2 linked regions of the Arabidopsis thaliana genome follow. The protein of the gene in region 2 interacts with the protein of the main gene of each other region in a pairwise test. Each region holds a gene or a part of one and is shown on either strand. Other genes may lie near its edges. The genes, in order: SRO5 and IAA12.

What was found.
Region 1: the proteins of IAA12 (region 2) and SRO5 interact in binary tests that used the Arabidopsis thaliana proteins (3 or more experiments, as listed by UniProt).

The regions. Positions count from the first base shown.
Region 1 is NC_003076.8:25,095,942-25,112,249, forward strand, and holds SRO5 (uncharacterized protein), read left to right. Parts: upstream 1-2,002; 5' UTR 2,003-2,129; coding exon 2,130-2,587; intron 2,588-2,675; coding exon 2,676-2,920; coding exon of another isoform or gene 2,921-2,943; exon of another isoform or gene 2,944-3,003; coding exon 3,004-3,122; exon of another isoform or gene 3,123-3,215; coding exon 3,216-3,323; 3' UTR 3,324-3,826; coding exon of another isoform or gene 3,827-3,965; 3' UTR 3,966-3,966; downstream 3,967-16,308. Other genes in the region: AT5G62510 (F-box family protein), read right to left, coding at 1-694; ALDH12A1 (aldehyde dehydrogenase 12A1), read right to left, coding at 3,827-3,965, 4,048-4,127, 4,205-4,315, 4,411-4,623, 4,708-4,797, 4,902-4,991, 5,077-5,208, 5,299-5,412 and 8 more; UBC3 (ubiquitin-conjugating enzyme 3), read left to right, coding at 8,738-8,862, 8,937-8,962, 9,061-9,150, 9,230-9,318, 9,402-9,524; AT5G62550 (microtubule-associated futsch-like protein), read right to left, coding at 9,898-9,933, 10,009-10,061, 10,143-10,986, 11,083-11,464, 11,699-11,804, 11,892-11,934; AT5G62560 (RING/U-box superfamily protein with ARM repeat domain-containing protein), read left to right, coding at 14,132-15,811. UniProt on the Arabidopsis thaliana protein: Probable inactive ADP-ribosyltransferase that may be involved in stress and developmental responses.
Region 2 is NC_003070.9:1,236,794-1,244,855, reverse strand, and holds IAA12 (AUX/IAA transcriptional regulator family protein), read right to left. Parts: upstream 4,563-8,062; 5' UTR 4,275-4,562; coding exon 4,072-4,274; intron 3,800-4,071; coding exon 3,513-3,799; coding exon of another isoform or gene 3,481-3,512; exon of another isoform or gene 3,432-3,480; coding exon 3,314-3,431; exon of another isoform or gene 3,241-3,313; coding exon 3,179-3,240; intron 3,096-3,178; coding exon 3,046-3,095; 3' UTR 2,699-3,045; downstream 1-2,698. Other genes in the region: AT1G04555 (uncharacterized protein), read right to left, coding at 907-1,004, 1,113-1,248, 1,344-1,414, 1,960-2,113; AT1G04540 (Calcium-dependent lipid-binding (CaLB domain) family protein), read right to left, coding at 5,795-7,600.

The sequences.
Region 1 (16,308 bases), on a different chromosome or scaffold from region 2:
AAGAACCTCCAACTTCCAGTACGAAGACCCAATGCTCCGAGATTATCGTTTCCAAATCTTGTGAGGATGATGACACAAAAGTGCAAACTACTTTGTATTGATCAAGAACAGGATCGTGCCCCAAGAAGTAGAGGAGACTATGTTCGTTTCCTTGGACAAAAATGTTGAATTTGATGGCGGGTAAGGTTACGCTCTGTCTGGTGGTGGGATTATAGAGACACGCTTTTCCGCAAACAATGTATAAAATCAAGCCACGAAGAGTCACCATATGTAGTCCTCCCATCCCTTGCATGGTCGTCAAATCTTGGTCGAAACTAGAAGGCGATGAGAATGATAGCAGTACAGACTCGCGGGGGCTGTGGCAGACCTCCCTTGAATCACACTTGTGGTCCACCAAACTAATGTATAGACGATGTGGTCGCAGTGGAGATGCAACCGTAAGATAACGGTTGCTAAAAAATCGGGAACGGATAAGAGAAGACCACTGCTTTGAAACGCACTTGAACCTCATAAGCGATTTATGAGGCAATCTAGTCAGAATCTCGATCAGTAGATCCAAAGGAATCTCCGGTGCCACAAAAAAATCTTCTCCTCTTTGTCTTCTTCTTCTTCTTTTTCTTCCTCTTCTCATAATCGCCTTTGAAGACCTCTTCTTCCATTGAAAAGATGAAATCAGAGCTACAGACAAACGCATGGCTACTACTACAAACTTGTATATCCAAATTCTAGGGTTGTGACAGTTTTATAAAGTAGAGGACGATGATCGTCTCTAATCAACAGTTTTCCTTTTGTTGATTAGGAAAAGAAAGTTTACCCTAACCGGTTTTCTTCGGTTTTAAAAATGAACCGAAACCCAATATATACGGTATGTTCCTAAATTTGAAAGATTACCGGATTGGTTTTTATTTGTCTCGCAATGTTCTTACTAGGCTTATATCGTTCATAAAATGAAGTATGGCTCAATAACAAATTATCATTGATTCATGTATGGGCTTCTGAATGAGATAATTCTAAAAAACATGCATGCTTATGATTTATGATTAAGGTAAAAAAAAAGAAAAAATTGATTAAAGTCATTTCTAGCTAATATTTGGATATCGCTAGCGGTAAGCTCATTTGAATCAAGTTTCTTTCGGGATTATTTCTAAATATTCAAAAATAAACAGAGTTACCTATTGAAAACCCAATTTATTTACCATTTCATTGCGATTAATTTAGGATTTTTTTACAATATGTTTTTTAATCAATTTGATTACTTATGCGTTTTCTTAAACAAGACTTAATTGTGCTTATAATATGACTTTGAAACATATACGAATCTCAATTTGTTGAAAATTAAGAGTTCATACTTAGAAGACGATATGTTGTTAGTAAATAAGTTTGTATAAAGACATTTGATTGCAATGATACAAGTCAAACACGATTTCGGTGAGTTTAACTATACTAATCTAATTTAACCTATTCATTGTAATCACACACATTCACATTGTTTGTCGATTAATTTATTTAGTTATACACTTATGTGATTCTAACTAAAATAATATTGACCTTAAAATTCATTTAAGAAATTGAAATTGGTTACGTATAAAACGTGTTACGTGTGTCGGTCGTGTCCTCTCAACTAAGAAAGACGCGATACAACACATTCTCGATGTCCACAAGCAAAGGGTAACTTCGTCATTTCCGCTTCTACCTAAAAGCCCCACTTGATCCAAAGGATATTTTCGTCTTTTCACACCAACCAACCCGCTTAACGAACTCCAACACGGAATAGACCCCTCAAAGAAAAAAAAAACAGCTAGCGGCCGCAACTTACAAAAACTTAACCAAAGTATTTATTATGTAATAAAATAAGAAAGATATTTAGCTGTTAAATGTTTGTTTACGTCTTCTCCACGGAGAAAAAGACAAGAAACTCTGAGTTTTTGATATTTATAAAAATTGCAAAACCGACGGTAACAGAAACAAAAGGCGGTTCTTTTTTCCATATGTGTAATTATTTCCTTAAGTCATAGCTATAAATATGAACTTGGACCTCAAGTTCTTTTCCTCTCTCAAGTAACAAAATACTAATTCAAAAGCTTTATAAAGTTTCTTTTCTCATTCGGTTCTAAAGTTCCTATTTTTCAATGGATTACGTGAGAACCCAAGTCGAAGCTGTTTTTGATGATTCTGAGCAAGATGGATCAACCATCTCTGAATCTGGAAGCTGCGATTCTTCTTCTGATCGATCTTTTGCTGACGAGCTTGGGCTTATGGAGTTGCTTGAAGGAGATAAAGCTCATGATTTGATCTATCGTAATTGTAAATCTGGTCTTGGTGATCAATGTCAGATTCTCTCTGTTCTTAGAAACGGATTTAGGAACGTTGGATCTCGTGCAAAGCTCAAGACTTTTCAGGTTTTTCAAGAGGCGGTGCAGATGAAACACGGTGGAGACGGTGGAGCTAAGGTGAAATACGGTTGGTGCTCTGTTTCGAAACATGAGCTTAAAACGATTTTTGAGTATGGGTTTAGCGAGCCGCTGAGGAATGATGGATCTTTTGGCCGTGGATTGTATCTCTCGCCGGATAATTCTCCTCTTGATTGGTAAGTTTCTCTAAATCTCTAAAAGTTTCAATTTTTCGAAATTCATTGGTCTCAAAATCTCATTTTTGGTGTTTGTTTGTTTGATTAGTTTGAAGGATTCAGCTTCAGAATCAGAAGATGGGATGAGATTCTTGTTGCTTTGTAGAGTTCTACTTGGAAAATCAGAGATTGTTCCTCAAGGCTCGACTAGATCATGTCCAAGTTCACCAGAGTTTGATTCTGGTGTGGATGATTTAGTTTCTACGAAGAAGTATATTGTGTGGAGTACACACATGAACACTCATGTTTTGCCTGAGTTTCTTGTTTGCATCAAAGCTCCATTTAACCTAACTCGTAAGCAAAATCAAAATCTCTAATCTTGAGTTTTTCTTGTTCTTGTTTATGGTTTTTTGACATAGTTATAACTGTTTTTGCAGGAAGTCCAAAGAGATTGAGATCACCATGGATGGCATTTCCTGTATTGATCAAAGCATTGTCCAAGTTTCTACCTCCTTCTCAAATACTTGTCATTCAGAAACATTACAAAGATCAACAAGTAAGTGTTTTTTTTTGTTTGTTTCCTCTTCAATTATCTTTTGAGGTGATTTCATTTCACATTCTAATTGTTGCTTTCCTTTGGATTTAACAGAATAGGAGAATTACACGGAGCGAACTAATCCAACGAGTCAGAAGCATAACCGGAGACAAGTTACTAGTTCACATCATCAAAGCTTGTGGACATAAAGTACAACACTAAATCTCCATTGCAGATCACTTTGGCGTTTTTGTTTCAAGGACACAATCACCATGGTTGTATTTGTCTGTTTACCAACTCCAAAATGATCAGGACTGGTAGAGTCCCTTTCTATTGTTTTCCCATGATAGTGATGAAAAAAAACTGTTCATTAGATTATTTAAGATCGATTAGATTAGGGTCTTAGCAACATTATTAATGAAGAGAACATTAACAAGTTATCATCTTGTTTTTCTTTTCACTCTTCTTCTTTCAAAAACATTTGTATTATTGTCTGGCTTTGAGCTGAAGAAAATTTCTGGTGGACTGAGTTTTACAATAGTTCTCTCTCTGTCTTAATCCCTCTACCCCTTGACTAAGTCAACGTCGTTGAAAACTTCATGTTTCAAGCTCTTATTCCCTCACACGGAAACTACTCGTAGAGATAAAACTACAAAACTCATATTTATTTGATGCAACAGCACACTAAGATCTTAGTTTATTAATTATTAGTGGACACACCACTTCTAAGTAGATGGAGGAAGTTCCCAACCTTGTGGAACCGGACCATAATCGTAGATGACTTCTCTGTGGCATGACCAAACCAGCTTTATAGCCTCTGGTGTCCCTATCCCGGCCCCTCTCGGGTCCCCCGCAGGTCCAAACCTGTGTTTATATGATAGTTTAACTTTTCCTCAAAGAAATAGAAATAGATACTTTAATTTGGGAGTGTGATTTTTCCTCTCACCAGTGATTCTGAGGAGCTCCAGTTGTTCTTCCTCTTAGTCCAGCATATGTAGTCCCATTCACTGAGTTCCCTATTACTTCCTGCACAGATTTGTTACATCAATATCGAAGGGATAGAGAATAAGAGATTGATTGATGATAATTGTGAAAAGATTTGCCTGAAGAAAGATGGGATCGTTTGAAACAACAGCTGCAGTTAGATGAGCGTGCATCCTCTCCAATGCTTCCAACACTAGAGGAAGTTGATCCTTTTTGTATTCCGTTACAATCTGGATATCATATACAGAAACAACACTATACGTTTCAGTAAAAGAAACACACAAGATCATTTAGACAAAGCTAATAAAGTCGATATCAAGGTAACCTGAAATGGTCCAAAGATTTCTTTGGTGACGAGTTCGTAGGTTTTATTATCCTTCAAGATTTCTTCAATGGGAACATAAACTGCAGTTGGCTCCAAAGCTCCGTAGATTGAAGGAATCGAATGATTCTTCAATTCCTTGCCACCAAAGAGTAGCTTTGAGCCAGGAATCTGAAGCAGATTCTCCATGTGCTCCAACATTGCCTCAGTTGTAAACTTGAAACAATAATGAAAAAATAAGTTTTAATGATACAATCTCATCAGATGATTAACAACAGATGGAGAAACAATGAAACTCACTGTAAGGACAGGACCAATGGTTAAGTCTTCCAGTTTGCGTCTTTCCGCTAGTTCTTTTAATTTGGAAACAAGAGGGGTTTTTGACCAGTTCTGCTCAGAGAGAAAATACATTGAAAACAACAAAGACAGAAGAAAATGGAAGTAAACAAAAGATTCAAAGGTAGTTTCACCATAACAATTAGGATCAAACCAACCTCATGAACAAAAAGCATAGACTGTGCAGAACACTTCTGTCCACTGCACGCGTATGCATCTTGATCACATTGCCATGCAACATAATCAACCTGACATTAGAGACCGAAACAAGGGTTACAATCACATTTAAGGAGACTTGTGGAAATACAAATACGGAAGGGTATAATAAGAAACCTCCTGAACATCTGGTCCTAAGACTTTCCAATCAAATCCAGCATCTTCCAATCTGATTCGACCCTTAAGGTCAAGTGCCAACTTTTCAGCTACTCTAGAACTACCCGTGAAGAGGGTCATCCGTGGGTTCGCCTGAAAGAAGTTACAAATCGACAAGACACTGAATTAGCTCAACTAAAAACCCTGTGGAGACAATAGACTTGTGAATTCCTGACCAAATACCTCTAACAATATCTTGTTCATTGTCTTCCCATCAGAATTTATAAAGTCCACATCTTCAGCGGGTAAACCACAATAGTGGAGCAATCGCATCATTTGCTCCATAACAATGCTTACCTAATCAAATAACATTATATTATCAAACAGATGGAACCAATACAATTACGAGAACTATAGTAATGTGAAGAGTAATTTATACCTTGCTGTCCACTTTAAGAAGAGGTTTGTTACCCATGTATAATGCCCCCATCAACTGAAGTAGTGGAATCTCAAGTGGAAAATTAAATGGTGTAACAATCGTTACCTGCATTACAAATCTATGATTTCAAAACAAAGCACAGACAGAGTTCTCACCAATTACAACCATCTAGGAAGAATGCCTTACAGGACCATAAGGCCAACGGTAACCATGACTTTGCTGCCCAAGATGATTCCCAGGGATTGCAAAAGACCGTGCCAGGAACCGCACCTGATAAAAGAAAGTGAAGCGAAATCATAAACATACATTTAAAGATGTAATTTCGGAAATTCAGCCACAAACATGAAATGTCTATATAGGCATTTTTGAGAACATGCCTTCAAGAATTACTAAGTTGTTGAAACTAATAGCCAGGAACCAAAATAAAAAATGGTGAAGAGAGTAATGTACCTGATCACCACAAAAGTTTTCTAAAAACTTCCGTGTGACAAAGACTTCTCCAGCAGCTTGCTGGTAACTCTTTGGAGCAACCCTTTGAATTAACCTCGCGAAGAAATCAGCAACCTAATAGTGTATACACGCATACAACAGTAGCTCAGTATGCATGTTATTCAGAAAACAAAACCTTTTGAATTCAAGACTCGAGATTCAACAAAAAAAGTATGTGTTACCTTAGGTAAGGCGAGCATATGAGCTGCCTTTGTCGAGATATCTCCATATAAAAGGTATCTGTAGAAAACAAGACCATTACTATCCTTCATATATGAAACAAAATGGGAAATGACAAAACAAGAAGAAATAGCACCAAACCTCAACCAAATCATACCTCTCTGGAGATTTGAAAGGGTTATGGAGACCATGTTTCGGGCACTGGGATAAGCTGTCCACAAATGGCTACAACATAGAACAGAGGAAAACTGAAAGTTAGAATTGACACGGATAAACAACATTGTGATACGATCAACGGTTTTTGATAGGCTCGTACCTGAGTTCCTGATTCATCCACTTCCGCAACTTTGATAAACGGTTCTCCATTTAGAGGATCTAGAAGCGTGTTATGATTTGACGATCCTATCCACTTTCCCTGCACTATAGACATAACAATGAAAGTAGAACTCAGAGACTTCACAACAGCATTTAACCAACAAGCTATTACTCATTTCCATAGCGTCAACGCACAATCAGTGAGAAGTAAAGACATACCAAAGCTCTGTACTTCAGCAGGATGAGCACCAGAGAGCTCCTCGGCATCTACGGTAGCAAAAGGTATGGAATGATTCAATCTGCAAGATCCATAAACACAAAAATTAAGGCAAAGGAACACTCTTTTAAATGGATCACATTCTCAGACATCAAAGAGTAATCAGAACACAAATACATAAAGTACCATTTCAAACTCTAATCAGCTAACACTCTCTTCATTACATAGAGACTGAGCAGATGCGGCTACTCGATGATCTAAATCTCAAATTTTTAATACACCAACTTGCTAAAGTTTTCTCTTTTATTTATTTATATATATATACAAATGGAAAGTCTATTACTTTAGGCAAAAACATGCAACCCCAAAAGACGAAGAGCAATGTTTAACACAAAACAAGAAATAATTTGGTGAGATCAGGACGTTTGAAAAACCTGGAGAGAGTCAAAGAAGCAAGCGAGGTGGATGATTTGTCACAGAGAGACTTAGCTCTCAGTGCTCGGCTCGCAAAAACTCTATACATTGCGTAAGATCCACAAGTAACGGAGAAAGATGAGAATCAGACGATTGGATGAGAGGATTCAAGAAGATTGGTGATAAAATAGCGAATTCTCGAGTGATTTGTGTTTAGCAGCTTATTAAAGAATTAAATGTTTTTCCCCTGATTGACGAGAAATACATTAATGATTTAAAGATATTTACAGATAATTTCTTATTTCTAGGTTATTATCTTTTTTACCCCATAGTTTCTAATGGCTTCTTATAAACCCTGATGTGATGAGTCATGACTCATGAGGAAGAAGAAGTTGAGCAAAAAATAAAAATAATAGTAAATCTCTTTTAAAGACCTCCTCTAATCAATTCGACTAATGGAATAGTAATTAGTTAAATATCAAGGGAAACTAATAATGAAAATTGGTACAAAAAAAAAAAGAGATTTATGATTATTATCTACTGTTTTACTCTTTTGAAATTTAAATTGGAAAATCAATAGTATTAGTGATATTTGACATCAAATCCAGGGATCAACCAAGGAATTTTGTAAGATGAACACAGATGTCAATTACAAAATAGATAAATAAATCTTGATAGATAAATAAGTATTAAAATGGTGATAGCTTGCTGAGTCACGTCCGCTTGGGCCATTGGCCCATTGAGTAATAGACGTATACGTTTGTCTTTTACACGAACCGACAAATAAAAAATAATAATATTAAAATTGTATTAAAATTATAAAAGTCTTTTTTCGTCTTTGGAAGAAAATATATATATGTTTTTTTCTTCTGGCAAGTTTTGTATTTTATTTTCTTAAAATAGTATATGATTTTTTCATTTTAAACTTTCTTTGTGTTTTCTTCTTCTCTTCCTTTATTTGGTGAAGAAAAAGGAAAGAAAAATCTCAACTTTGATTCTCTCTCCCTCTATATATACTTTATTTATTCTCCACTCATAATAGTTTCATCATCTCTTTCGGTCTATGAAAAACATTGGAAAAACCCTAATTCCTAGTGTTGCGAATCACTTTTCATTGCAGCTTTGAACTTCAGGTAATTTTAGGTTAATCGAGCTTTTTCATTTGATGCATGACATCGGAAGATCAAATCTTTCATAGGTGATTGTATAATCTAATCCTAAGGCTCGTTGAAATCGATAATTGTACTCTTGATCTACTTAAATTCAGAATTTAAATTCAGAATTTATACACAGCTACTATCGTTGAGTCGAACTTAATTTGCTAGTTGAAATAATCCAAGCTTCAAGCTTTCTTGTCTAGAAGTTTGGTGATTCTTGTTCTCTGACCTTTTGGGCTATATGGTTGTTGAAGCTTAAGTCTTTGTTAAACTATGATGATAGGTTATAGAAATGTAGATCTTGGTCTCTGCTTCTACTTTTTTTGGGTCTGAAAAAAAATTGAAACTTTAATCAGAAATTTAAAGCCTAGTTCATGCAATTGCTCTTACTTTGTGACTTATGAAATGAGTTTGTAAGAGTAAAGTTGAAATCTTTCATATTTGGATGCAGTCTGTGAATTTCCAACAGCAATGACAACTCCAGCAAAAAAGAGACTGATGTGGGATTTCAAGAGACTGCAGAAAGATCCTCCTGTGGGAATAAGTGGAGCTCCACAAGATAACAATATCATGCATTGGAATGCTCTCATCTTTGGGTATAACTTTTTGTTTTGTTTTCTCTTCAAAGCATGGCTTTGTAAACTTATTTCTTCATTGTCTTTGTTTGCAGACCTGAGGACACTCCATGGGATGGAGGTAATTATCTTTCAGTACTTATTGGCTATTGCTGCAGACCGAGATATTGTCATGAGTTAAACTTATAGCTAAAATAATCAGTCTGTTGTGTTCATCAGGTACTTTCAAGTTGACTCTTCACTTCACCGAGGATTATCCGAACAAACCCCCGATTGTTCGGTTTGTTTCACGGATGTTTCATCCAAACAGTAAGCCCAAGCATTCAGTGAACAACATAGTAATAGACCAATTAGGAAATTCGACTTTGATAATTGAACTTTGGTGCAGTTTATGCTGATGGAAGCATTTGCTTGGATATCTTGCAAAACCAGTGGAGCCCCATCTACGACGTTGCTGCAGTTCTCACATCAATTCAGGTTTTGACTTCTGAATTCTTCATTTGTATCTTTTGCATTGTGGAGGTTATGCATGAACTAAACCAAGACCTTTTGTTTTACAGTCTTTGCTCTGTGACCCAAACCCTGACTCACCAGCGAACGCAGAGGCTGCAAGGTTGTTCAGTGAGAATAAAAGAGAATATAACAGGAAAGTAATCGAGATCGTGGAGCAGAGCTATGTATAAATATGATTCATTTTGTTGTATTGACTAATGAGTAATTGGATGTTGAATAGTATTTATTATCTGCCTTGAGTTTATTTTACATGGATGTTTAAATTTCGGAAATGAGATTTCTGCTATAAATATATATATATTTTGATAATAGTGAATAACCAAATTTGAAGAGACAACAGTAGAAGAAAGACTTCAAATGAAGACATGAAAGTAAAACTTAAAACAATTACAGAGCAAGCAAATAAAACATTTGTTGTCTTTCAAACCACACTTTGGAAACAAACTTGCAAAGGTTTTTCAACTATGTACTTGAACAAATCATTCAAACCAAAAGAAAAAGATTGTTTGAGATATGTTGAAGAAACGCTTCTCTGTTCTTCATTTAAACCTGGATGTCTTCTCCTGCACCAACAACAACCTGCGACGAGAAAAAGCTTGTGTTAGCTACAAGAACAATTTCGATCCTGTGAACTTAAAGAAGTTTTTCACTCACCGTGTTTTCTTTGTTCTCCATTTTCTCTGTTTGCTTCAGAGATTTAACTTCACCTACACATATGAACATTAAAAACGATCAGCCACAAATGCTACACAAGCTATTCAAAGACATTTATATGATTTTCCTTTTACCTTCTTTAGCAGTAGATTTCTTAATTGACTTCTTTGACTCTTCTTGAACTCTCTTAGTCCTGGGTTTAGTGATCCTCTCAGACTTCTTCTGAGACTTATCATCCTTGTTTACTTGAACTGTTTTTGAATTAGCAGAGTTGGTTGCTAGTGATTTCTTTGTCCTCACCGGCAGGTTGTTCTTAGGAACAGTCTCCTTTCTGGCACGTTTCTTGTCTGAAGGTTTAACAACAGTCACGATCTGAACACCATCTGCTGATGGACGGAGCCCTTCTTCGGATTCCTGAACAACCTCTGAATCATTCTCTTGGTTCACATTGATTACCTCCAGAGACTTTCTAGTTCTTCCTTGTGTTACAGTTTCCAACGCCTGCTCTTCCTTAGTTGTTTCTGTGACAGATGAATCTTGCAAAGCATCTTCTTCCTTAGTTGTTTCTGTGACAGATGAATCTTGCAAAGCACCTTCTTCCTTAGATGTTTCTGTGACAGATGAATCTTGCAAAGCATCTTTTTCCTTAGTTGTTTCTGTGACAGATGAATCTTGCAAAGCATCTTTTTCCTTAGTTGTTTTTGTGACGGTTGAATCTTGCAAAGCATCGTCTTTCGTGATCTCTGATGTGATGTTCGAATTTCCAGGAGTGGAGAATGAACTCTGGACATCATTATCGTTGTTCAGAGACATAGCTGTTTCTTCAGCTACAACAGAACTAGTCTCCGAGACCTGCACCTGATTGGATTCTTCAGAGATATTGTACAGTTCCGAAAGTTCCTTCATAGCATCAGCAAGCCCATCCATGTTATTGCGACGAGCATACAATTTCAACTCTTCTTTCATCTTGTCAAGTGGCTAGATTCCAAAACAAACAAAGCCAGTGAGATAATAAAACAAACGAATCAAGACTTATTCCAAATTAAAGCTTTCATTGTAAATGAGCATTTTCACCTCACACCCTGCATGAAGAGCAAGTTTAAAGAAACCGAGAGAGATCGAATGTTTCGCCACGGATTCAGCTAGCTTGATATGAGTCAGCCAATAAGTAGAGGAAGACAAGTCTTCAACTTTCTTTCGAGTCACTGATGATCTGAGATTACTAGAGACAGGTGTTGTTGTTTCATTGAAGCTTCTAGGAACAATGCGTGATCTCTTTGGCTTGACTTCAGAAAGAGAAGTGACGCTGCTGCTCACTGATTTAACAGAAGAATTGCTTGTGGGCTTGTTTGGAATCGAAAGTCTTCTTGGTGGTAGCTTGGTTCGATCAACACTCTTCTTCCCAGACAAATCAAGAACTGTTGTACTCTGACTAACAGCAGATACAACTCGTGCCCTGAGATTCAAATTCACACACATAAATATAATCCATAAGACAAATTACATTGCAACGTTTATATAAACCATAACTGATCATCTTAAACTAGCAATTCAAGATATGAATCAGGAGAAAATGACCAAAATTCTGGGAAAATTTTCATCTTCTCTAGAATTCAGAAAATGAACAAATTCTAGCATCATCAATGTCTCGTTGAATCCGGATCTAGGATCATTATTGAATCAATAGTACCTTCTGGGCATAGAAGAAGCAGAGAAATCAGGAACAGGAGGCTTCCCTTCCTTGGATCTAAGAGCCGATCTGAGAGGATACCTCAGCTTCGAGTTTATTGAATTACCTGTTCAGAAATTTTCGAATCAGAAAAACATTACGAAAACTGAAATGGGAAGTGATAATCAGATAGAAGGAATTGAAGAAGATTTACCAGAAGCAGCAGAGCTCACGCTTTTCTCCATTGATTTCTCCATTGATGAACTTAGAAACTTTTAACGCTTTTTTGTTTTGTTTAGACTGAGAGAGAAAAAAAACTGAAGATCTCAATTTGAAAAACTGTGAGAGCGGAGAAATCTCTGACTTATAATAATAACAAAACAATCTGATTTGTTTCTAAGAACTCGTGGATGACCCCTACATTATTTGATATTTCTCTTATAGCCTCATTATTTTCTATTAAACCAATTCTGACCCATTTTTTACTCTACCCAATAAGGGTAAATTTGATGCTTCATTTGAAATTGAATTGATTAAAAGTTTAAACAAATTTATTTGAGTTTATATATATTTGAAAATATTCATATATATTAGTTTGGGAACAGAGATAAAGGTTTTAGTATGTAAAAACATTAGCTTGGGATTAAAAATGAAGATTTCTAAAGTTAAAGGGTCTACTTTTTGAATAATCCGTAAAACCTAAATTTCTGTTGCAGTTTGCCTTGAGAGCGGGAAATTGGTTGAAAGTCTCTTTGGGAGAAGATAGAGAGAGAGAGAGTTACTCTGAGCCGTCCGATTCGATTGATTTAGGAATCTGAGGGACCTCATTTTTCCAAACGCTCCGTTGTCTGTGGGGTCTTCTTTTTGTTTTGTTTATTTTTCGAAATTTCAAATTCAAATAACGCCGTTGACTGATTGATTAACCGTTTGTTATATAACTGTTAAGATTGAGGGGCTTCTTTAATATCTGACGACCCATTAATGTTTTCTCGATACTGGGCTTCATTTGGGTTCGGTCCAATACTTTTAGTACTGTGCTTTTTTAATTAGAAGAAAATGGATCTCTAAAGTCTAAACACTCGATCATCTAAAAAAACAGAGGGATATGAGTCACAACGCTTAAGCTAGGTTTTGCCAGTTTACAAGTTTATCCTCTGTCTATCTATTTTTGACCATAACAAACAAATAAGAATTTTAATAAATTAAACATTTCTAATCTTGTTTGTATTGTTTAGTGTATTAGTGTATATAGTAAATCAAAAGTGAGATTTTTAAAAAAAATAATATTCTATCGACAACATGCAATATTTGAATTTGAATAAGATGGTAACACAATGACAATACTAATATAAACCATAAGCCTATGTTATAGTCAATGGAATTTTGGTCAAGCTGCTCAAAATATGTTCTTCTTTATTTACGATTATTGCTGCCAAATCATATACCTAAATAAGTTTTCAACAAGCTATCCACATAATGCTTCCTTAAAATAACTTTCATAAATATTAAAGATTTTAAGCTTACATGAATGGTAAAAGAAATTTCAAAATAATATAAGAAACTATCCTACCTATTCTCATTGTCTTTGTTCACATGTAACCAAATACAAAGCGTTGGTAAAATAAAAACATACTCCTCTTAGTGCATTTGAAAGGAAAAAAAAAACACATCTGAGTGGATGTCATGTTCTTGTTCTTTTTTTTTTTTTTATCTAATCGATAGTGTCGCTCTATTCCGACTTTATCTCACTAGAAACAATATAATTATTTGTTTCACATTATAAAGAACAATATTATTAAGAATGTATATTTAAATATATTCTCGTTTTCTGAGTATGTCGCCGGTAATTAATTATCATATGGTGTGTGCATTACTCAGTCTACTTTTCTTTTGTCAAATTTCTAATTACGATTAACTTAACAAAGCTTGAACTATAGCTCATAATTTTTGCGTAATAAATTCCTTGCAAAATAGTATATCCTAGGTTGGTAAAATTAAATGTCAAAGATACCTTTTTGGAGTATTTATTCCCTATTTGTAAGTTCTTGATTTGATACTGTGTTAAATGAGAAACTATTTATGGCTCATGGTGATTATTATTAGGTGTCCATTAATGATGATCATCAATTCATCACCTTTACAATATTAATTCTTCTCAAAAAAGTAAACCATGAAAAAGTCAAGAATGTCAGAGTCGTTACTATCAGCGTTACCAATTCCGTTTTGTTGTCCCTTGATTTAGCTAATAAACAAAAATCAAATAGATAGTTTTCCGGTTTAATCTAACTTGGTTCGGTTGATTTTTCCGGTTAATCTATTGGTTCGGTTTAATCATCCAAAACCTTTTGGACTGTATCAAAGACTGAATATTACGAGCTTTGATTTTTTTAGCTCGGAGCCGCTTCTTCTTTCTTCATCTTCTTCCTCCTCTCAATAACCCAAGTTTTTTCGCCGATGGGTGGAAACAAGCAGAGATGGTTCTCTTTCCACCAACGATCCTCATCCGCCACCACTACTACTTTACCACAACACAAACACGACGAGACTCCACCGGAGTTTCTTTGTCCCATCACCGGATTCCTCATGTCGGATCCCGTCGTCGTCTCTTCCGGTCAAACCTTCGAGCGTCTCTCTGTTCAAGTCTGTCGTAACTTAGGGTATATACCGGATCTCCTAGACGGTACCCGACCCGATCTTTCCACCGTCATCCCCAATCTCGCAATGAAATCCACCATTTTCAGTTGGTGTGATCGGCAAAAAGTTGACCATCCTCGTCCTCCTGATGCCGCTTACGTCGAAGGCGTGGTTCGTGCCCGAATGGATAAAGATCCTAATCCAAGTCCGGGTCAAAGTCCGGGTCCGGGTGATAAGGATCCGGAGCCTGAGATTCTCCCTCCTGTAGAAGAGAATTCACCTTCGGATTACGATGCTGTGATGGAAGCGATTCGAGCTCGATCAAAGAATTCAATGTCGCCGACGACGTCTCTTGAATCGGTGACGATTGGTCAGAGTTCATATCACCCGGTTCGAGCCGTTAGTATGTTCTCTTCTTCAACTACTTCTTCTTCCTCTGGAGTTTTCGCTGGTGCTGATAGTCCATTTCGAAACGCTATGTCTTTCTCTTCCACTGATCACTCTTCTTCTCCGATGTCACCGGAAGAAGAAGAGATCTTCAATAAATTGAGAGGTACCGACATTTTCGACCACGAGCAAGGTTTGATTCTTCTTAGGAAGATGACGAGATCTAGTGAAGATCTTCGGGTTTCGCTTTGTACAGATCGGATTCTCTCTTTTCTCCGATCGCTGCTTGTTTCACGGTACAATCTTGTTCAGACTAACGCCGCTGCTTCGGTGGTTAATCTCTCGTTGGAAAAACAGAACAAAGTTAAGATCGTACGGTCAGGATTTGTTCCTCTGTTGATCGATGTTTTGAAATCGGGAACGACGGAGGCGCAGGAACATGTTGCCGGAGCTTTGTTTAGTTTGGCGTTGGAAGATGAGAACAAAATGGTGATCGGAGTTCTTGGTGCGGTGGAGCCGCTTCTTCACGCGCTTCGGTCGTCGGAGAGTGAAAGAGCGCGGCAAGATGCAGCTCTTGCGCTTTACCATTTGTCCCTGATTCCGAGCAATAGAACTAGGCTGGTTAGAGCTGGTGCGGTGCCGACTCTGCTTTCGATGGTAAGATCGGGTGATTCGACTAGCCGGATTTTGCTGGTACTATGTAACCTGGCCGCTTGTCCAGACGGAAAAGGTGCGATGTTAGATGGAAACGCGGTGGCGATTTTGGTAGGGAAGCTTAGAGAAGTCGGAGGTGGTGATTCAGAGGCGGCGCGTGAGAATTGTGTGGCGGTTCTGTTGACGTTGTGTCAAGGGAATTTGAGGTTTAGGGGGTTGGCGAGTGAGGCGGGAGCGGAGGAAGTGTTGATGGAAGTGGAAGAGAATGGGAATGAACGGGTGAAGGAGAAGGCGTCGAAGATTCTGCTGGCGATGAGAGGAGGAGGCGGAGGAGAGAGTGAGTTTGGGGAAAATGCGGAGGCGCGTGAGTGGAACCGTATGCTTGAAGCGACTGGGCTAAGTCGGACTCAGTTTCAAGGAGGGCAAAATGGGGGTTTTGCTTATTCCTCCCAGTTCTAGCTTTTTTTAAAAAATTGTTTTTTTGGGCATCTCTTTGTTGTTTACCTTTTTTTGGTAAAATGTTATCTTATTTTTCCTTTTTTTTTGTTTTGGTTTGATATAAATGGGTGTAAATTACTAATTTTGTGTGAATTATAATATGTGATTATGGTTTTTTTTTCCAATCAAATGACAAAAGTGAATTGTCCATTTGTTTGTAAAAACATGTCTAATGTTTTTTGTAATTTTCTATCACATAATGTTTTTTGCAATTTTCTCTCTTTACCTTTTTAGGAAATTATCTTATCTAATTTTTGTAAAATAATTAATTTTGAGTGGAATATGATATGTGATAAAAAAAAATTTCACTTGATGAGTAAAGCGAAATGTCAATCGGTTGTAAAGAGATGTATTTTCAGCTTGATGTGATTTATTAGTTGAATTGACTTATTGCAAATTAGAGAGATGCGTGGATGAAAACGAGCGTGTGATGGAGAGAATTAAGAAGTCAGACAGTT
Region 2 (8,062 bases):
GTGGTGGGACACGTGTCTTGACGTTGTTTTAAAGTGTTGGATATAGCCAGTGTTGTCATTGAGCTCGAATCTCCAAACCGCTTTCTTTATATTATCTCCTTATGTTTTATCATAATAAATGTTCCAAAGCTACCATATATTGGGGTCAGCAATTAATTACTTATGATAATCCACCTGGAATCAATGAAAATAGCCATGTATTGGTAGAATATCATTTATTCATATTGCTTAAATATGAAATATTAGCTTAAAATTTTCATAATTTTGCCAAGTTTCTTTTCATTTGGTAAAAAGTTATCTGAGGAAGGTTGGGGATAATGAAAGAGGACAAGTGATTAACCACCGAGTATCTAGAACTTCTTTTTTTCTCTTTTATCTTAATAACGAAGGCGTTGTTAATATCCGGAATTGTTTGCAACGAAATTTAGTTGTATGAAAAAACGAAAAAAAAAATCAGTTGCATACTATTGCTTCATGGGCCTATATTGGGTTGGCACCAAAAAGGAAAACCGCATCTCACAAACATGTCGGTCGTAACCGCATGGCTGTTTTCACATATGTTTCTAAGAAGTAAGAACAAACCGATAATTTACATGTTTTTTTGTTTTGTAAAATATGAATCAAATTTATGTAATAAAGATGACTGATACAGGCCACAATGGTGATGACCATAAACTTGAGCTGCACTGGGCACCAGACTATATGATTAAGGTATATTTGATGAATTGACCAAAACACAAGTGTGTTTAAAAATCTTACTGAGTAACATACATATCCTTTCTTTTCTTTTCCTGTGTTTTGACAGGTTTCCAGCATCTCTGTCTGTCTTTACACTAGTAAGTATAATTTTTTCTATGAGACTTATAATGTTCAATAATTTTATGATATTTAGAGAATTAGTGACGTTTATGATGATGTTTTGGTGGACGAAGAAACTCCTCCGGTTTTCTCAAGATCCCGTTGTCTTGCTCGTTCCATTTTCCGCTTTCGCCATTCTTCCAATGCTGAGCGGATAACAAAAACATTTGTTACATACCTAAACCTTCATGTATAGTTTTGTTTCTGATCTGAATTCCATAGCATAAACAAGACGATTTCGCTATTATGTGTACCTTTCAAGCTCGATGCATCGTTTAGCGCACGGAAATCCTTCAGTCGTTTAGAGAGATCAACGGCTGTAGTCTGCTTCACATCTTTCTGCTGCTCGGTTTCTTGTCCCGCAGATGCCTCTTGTTCGATTTCTCGGACCTATCATTCATTTCAAGAACATAAGGCCAAATCACTCTCTCGAAAGCATAGATACTTGTAAATATCTAATGCTACAAAAAGCATAATGTGCTTACTCTTCTGATGAGCTCTAAAGGTTGCATCTTGAGCCTAAGTTCTTCGGCTTCCTTGATATACCGAAGCTGAGCTGCATTTATCAAAGAGGTAATGGTTATGTATGATGAAAGAAGAAACTTTTTCAAGTACCCAAAAAGAAGACAAAGCTCTGCAGTAATGTAGAAAAAAACATCAACAATCTCTCAAAGTTCTTCATCTCATTAAACCAAAAAAAAAAAAAAAAAAAAAAAAAAAAAAAAAAAAAAGTTCTTCATCTCTACAAGGCTTAGAATGTGAATATGTAACAACTTTGATATCAACAGTTCCATGGAAAGAGCTTAACTTTCAAGTGCCTTATGCAATTGAATTATCTGTTCAATACGCAAAAATCTAAACTTTTTCGAAATCGAATCATATCAGTGTAGAAGCCCTAAATCTACAAAGATCGAATTGAAGTGACCACAGGATCCAGAAATCTAAAAACGAGTCAACAAGCTTTTTGTTATGAGCAGATCCGAGAAAGACCCATCAGAAGATGATCCCTAAAGCACCAAACTTTGCTCAAATTCCGATGAAATCCAGAGAAATTACGCAAAATCAGGATATACCCACAAGGAATTCAGAAAAGTTACAGACCTGAAATGAGTCGGCGAGAAGAAGAAGAAGAAGATGGAGAAGAGGAGGAAGTGAAAAAGCCCTGAAGGAGGAAGAGGAAGATGAGAACGTTGATGACAGTGAGAGCAATTGTTGCGTTCTTGAACGAAAACCTCATGCGCCATTGATGATCCATTATCTTATTCCAAAGCAAACCCCAAAAATCTAAACCGTGGTCTTTAGAATTTCACCAAACTTGAATTTTATCAAGGATCATGAATCTTCCTTCTTCCTTTCTCTACAAGACTTTAATTTACTGGTCTTTTGACTTTACTACTTATCCTTTAATCTTTGGTTGGACTTGCTAAGCACTGTATCTCCTTTTCTAGGTAACAAGTTAAATATTACCTAAACAATCCATAACCTTATTATATTTTGATTTGGTGACGTGAATCCAAACATTTGTTATTTTCTTTGTCTTCAACTATCAGATTAAGAATAAAATCTTTACTTTTCAAAGTTTATCAATTTAAAGTAGTTTGCAGTTTTAAAAGATAACTCTTAACGTATTTTGTGTGAATTTAAGAACAATTAAGGACAAAACTTTTGATGGTCAAAACTTTTCTTGTCATCAATCATCAATATATGATTTTGATGGTCTTAGAAACATCTTCTCTTCGACCAAAAAAAATAAACATCTTCTCTGTTTTTTTTAATGACACACTCTTCTCTGTTTCTGCAAAACGTTTTGACTCGAGTCAATGGAAACTTCAAAAAGACAGAAAACAACAAACCATATTAAGGAACAAATATTCATTCTTTGGAATCATAAACATAACTCTTATCACATTAATTAGATAACTTCAACTATTTACAATCTGAGAGAACAAATAAACAAGAGCTTTCTCTCACAGAACATAGATAATTGGTACACAGCCAAAGAAGAAACAAACTGGAAAACTACGAATTGAATGACCTAAGCAAAACCATATCCGAAAACCGGATTCAAATCATATCTAAGCTTCTGCATGCTTTTATCCATATTCTCCAAAATACTTTCTTCAAAAAGTATCGAGTAAATTGCAAACCTCAAACAATACATAAACAATGCCAGCTTTGGAAGGGAAGCTAAACAGGGTTGTTTCTTTGTCTATCCTTCTGCTCTTGACGTCTTGGAGCTGCATTAAAAATGATTCAATCAGTCTTTTTCATTAGTCAAGACGAGAAATCAAGAAACCAGAAGATGATCTTTAAAACTTACCTAGTCCACTAGCTTCTGAGGTTCCCATGATCCGAAGCCTTTTCACCGAGTTGATAAACATTCTAAACAAAAAGAGAGAAAAGAGACTAATCAGGTTTTGAACTACTGCAATACTGCTTAATATCCGAATCTTACCTCCATGGAACATCTCCAACAAGCATCCAATCCCCTTCCTTATCTTCATAAGTGAGTACAAAGTCTGATGATCCATCTAAAAGCCTTAAAGGTTTAACCTTTTCTCGACAAGTAGTACCTGATAGATAAAACAGAAACTATCAGTAGATTCATAGAAAACATCGGGTTTATAGTGTACGCATTTGAAAACAGTACAGACCTGTCATTCCAAAGAACATTTCCTCAAGCGTCTGAGCCAAGTTTTCGTAAGACGAATGAGCTCTCATATCCACTTTTCTGCCTATACCAACTCCATCCATATTCACCTTAACAAACCCTAAGCCCTGAACTTTCGGATTCACCTTCATTGACACATCTTTGAGCTCATCATTCTTCACAACTTTCTTCTCCCCGTCTCCTTCTTCCGCTCTTGCTGCCTTCATAGCTTGGTTATTAACCAAACTGTTCATCCTGTGTAACCCAATTGGTGGCCATCCTACCACTTGACTGCCACAACAAACCAAGAAATTTCCACTCAATGGCTCTCGAAATTCAGATGTAATCATCTAAACAGACATTAAAATGAACAAATCTTAGCATTTGCATGACTCCATAGAGAAATCTATAGCACAGGACAAGCACAAGCTCATCAATGGAGATAGATACCTAACTCTTATTCAGGGTAAACTAAAACAAAAGCACCTACACAATTCTGTCCTGAGATGGCATAACACTCACATCACAAGATTTGAGCTTTCTTAATAAGAAAAAGGACGAACCTTGAACGAGGAGGAGAAGCTCCTTGGTGAGAGGAAGATTCAGCAGAGCGTTTAGACCCAACGGAAGGAAAATCCTTAGCAGTAAGAATCCTCCCACGCTCTTTCCACGCGCCACCACCGAGGCTGAGCCCTAATCCCAATTCCAGCTCACTCTCCGCCGGAAGATTACTCTTCCCCACCTCCAATTCTGACACACCACGCATGTCAATAACAAAACCCTAGACTCCAATGATACCAGCAGAGAAAGTGTCTTTCAAATAACCCACACAAAAAAGAAGCTTGATGACACAGAGAGAATGGAGACAACAAGAAGAGAAAGAGTGTATTTAGGGTTTGAGAGAGACGAGAGAAAGAGATGATGAAAACAGAGTAAAAGAGAGAGAGAGAGAGGAGGATTTTGGTGGTGGAGAGAGTGATGAGAATTGGGACCCATATGTCTTGTAATGGCCATACCAATTTTTTCTAACCAAAAGTCTTCTCCTTTGTTATAAAATATTGTTTGTTTTCTCTCAAAACTTGTCTTCCGACATAATCAAACCTGTTGTGCTCTCGTTGGGATATCGTTGTTGTGTTTGGTTCAAGCAGCAAGAGAAAATAGAGAGTCCCAAGAAACTTGTTTACAGTTGTATGTGTGTGTGCAAGGTTTTGCTTTGTGTTGCTGTTGCATCATAATATAGTTCTTTTTTGTTTTCTTTTCCGCTTGTGGTTTTTTTCTTTTCTTAACCAAAAATTGTATTGCTTTAGCCTTTAGGATGAAGAGTCTCTGTTTTAAATACCATTTTTCTTTAATTTGGGCTAATCAAAAAATCTAAATTAACTTTTATATTTCATATACTATGTATTGGTTACATTGCTCCTAGATTTTAGACCTAATTTTAGTCTCTCTTTAACAGGTTGGCCATCATTCTTTATACTAGCAAACTCGTTTATGGTCATATGCCATTTGCATATTGACCATTTGATTATCTTTCTTTTCTAATAACTAAGATAATATATATTTTCAACTTTTTCCTTAGACCATGATTGTTGTCGAACAAGATTATAAAAGAAAGTGAGGGAAAAAAAATGGTGGGAAAAGATGCATTATTATAAAATCGTGGTGATGAGATATTCATCATTATGTTTGATGATCCTTTGAAAACTTTTGCAGGCGCAATTGGTTTGTGGAAATTACACTTTTGATCAAAATCATTATCAAGGAGTACATAGATTTCATGCTCTAATTGATGGATTTGATAGAAAATAAACTAAATAACCGGTTATATCATGTATGAATCAAATAAGTATACATAATACATGAAAGTATAGTTAGAAATGCAGAATTTGTATATTTATTTTAGTTTTTTTTAGATTAATGTTTATATCATTTTGTTTCTTTTTAATTTTAGTCACCATTGTCTACAATACCAACATTTGTTCACTCACTCTTAGATTTCATTTTTATATTTTTTTTATTCCACTCACTCTCTTACATTCATTCACAGTTTTCTAATTTTGTTGTGTGAGCTCACTTTCTATTAAACACTATATTATAAGAAGAACATTTTTTAATTTTTTAAAAATAAGGAAGAAGAAGAGGAATACACAAAAATAAATGATTTATTAACACAACATTAATAAATTAATTTTTGTTTACTATTTGATTAATTCATCAGCTCAGATCCTTAAAAAATATAGTTTTCCAAAAAAAATAAAAGTTAATATAAGACCAATAAAATAAAGATCACACAAAGCTCAGATCGTCAGCGGAATATGTGCGTTGCACACGTCCGGCTCCACCTTTCTTAGTAGATCCTTCTGAGACCATCGGCCCACCACCACCACCGCATACGAAACTGCATTCCACACCACAAATCTTACTAAAACACGAGAAAAGTCCATTACCTCCATCTGTGTGACGGCGGTTATGCTTTTTCGTCGTCGGAGTTTTCCGTCTTGAACTCATTCCTCCCCCGGCAGTTGCAGCTGGAACGCTCGCGCCATCGTAATCAGTGCTACTTATATGGCTTGATCCTATGTCGTACAACGGTGGAAGCTCTGTTCGCCATCTCTCGAGTTTTGATCGCAATCCTTCGATGCTAGATTCATCGATGCTCCATTCGCTGAGTATTGAACTTTCCGTTTCGTGCGATCTATCTTTCGCCAATTTGTCAGCCACTTCAGATGGCGATGGTCCTAACTCCGATTCAGTTAAGATTCGTCTTCCAGCTAAATTCCTCACTGGTGTACCAAAATCGTGATGAGTTCTCATCGGTGTAGCCATGTAGTTTGATCGGATCGGGGTTGATCCGACGATGTTTGATCTCATTGGAGTCGAACCAACCATGTTAGACCGCATAGGAGTTCGCATTGGAGTCGATCCAACCATGTTGGGATGCATCGGTGACATTGCGATGATGTTGGATCTCATAGGAGTTGATCCAACTCCGTTAGATCTCATCGGAGTAGATGCGATAATGTTTGATCTCAATGGTGTTCCGTGCTTCGATAAGTACGGGGAAGCTCGGCCACGATCGTAATCTTTCACTGATCTTTGTTTCTCGATCCTTGTCTTCTTCCTCGGTGTCTTACCTGTTTGTTGATACGAACTATACGGCATAACATCATGTCTCTCCCTTCTCGACACTACCACATGGTGGTTCTCCATTGGCGACGGATTTATGAGATCTGATTCAATCGAATTGTATCGTTGCCTTGGAACTCTAAGGTTTTTACTAGGAGGTGTATACTCACTCGATTTTTTCTCATCAGAATCTGTCGTGGTGGGAAGAGTTTCAGATTCACTGCTCACTATTGCACTCGCTGGTTGTCTATTAGCTAAACGACTCCGTTCAGCCCTGCTAAGAAGATCCGAAACAACCATAGAACTTGTATCGCTCTTCGTACGACGGAGCTCAGGCCTTGAGATTACGGATTGGTACTGTCGAGAAGATGGAGATTGTGGATTCTTTGAGCTCCCTTTGTTGCTATTTAAATGCAAATGTTGTAGATGATGATCTTCTTCTCCGAGCAAATCTCTATATCCCACAGCAGATGAATCCATATGCGTATAAAGCGGCATACTCCGCATAGAACCATCAATTAATCCAACACCAATGTTCAAAATCCCCTGAGGTCGACCTGAAGTACGACGAACTTGAAGCGCAACAAATCTCATTCCTGGAGGTGGGGTACGACGATATTCATTGTTGCTGGTTCTGTATCCTGGACGGCGATTAGGAGGAATGAGGTTGCTAATGAGGACACGAACTGTTCCTACATGAACATCTCTGAACCAATGCAAGGCGTATATTTCGATAACCACTGCTGAAGTATCAGCGTAGAGAAATTCTTCGTTGACTCTGAATACGAATTTGTCGTTCCAAGTTGGGTTTGTTCCGCCATTATAGTCGACACGGGTGGTAAGTTTACGTTCGGAATGAACCCAAGCAACCGCATAAGTCTTTGTCTTGCGTGCGACGGGAGCCAAGTCCTGAGCTGATATTATGTTAAGTTCTAGCAACTGAAACGATGGGAACATCATCGACATTGTGGATCAATAGAGTGATTTTACATTAAAATCTTTTTGTTGGATTCGAGGGGACGGAGAATTGCGAGAGGGAGAATGAGATCTCTCTCGCAATTCTCAATTCAAAATTCTCAAAATTCTGAGAAGTGAATGATGAATGAAGAAGAAGGTAGATTGTTTGATTGGTGGTGGCAATTTCCGAAAGGAGGGAGAAAGGTAATAATAACCATTTTGCTAAATTTGGTTTTGTGTATGTGAGAAAGACAACGAGTTTATTAGGAGGCGTGTGTTGTTCTTCAGCTGAAGATTGCTATTTTAGGAGACGTTCGTGAGGATCAAGTTAGCTTTGGTGAAGAACTCTTTCCAATTTCAACTTACGTATGTGTCCTTTTGATTACTGAATTGTTGTCTGGTTTTGCAGAAATAAGAATAACAAACAAGGTGAATAATTTTTAATACCATTAACATTTAGACTTTTTGAGT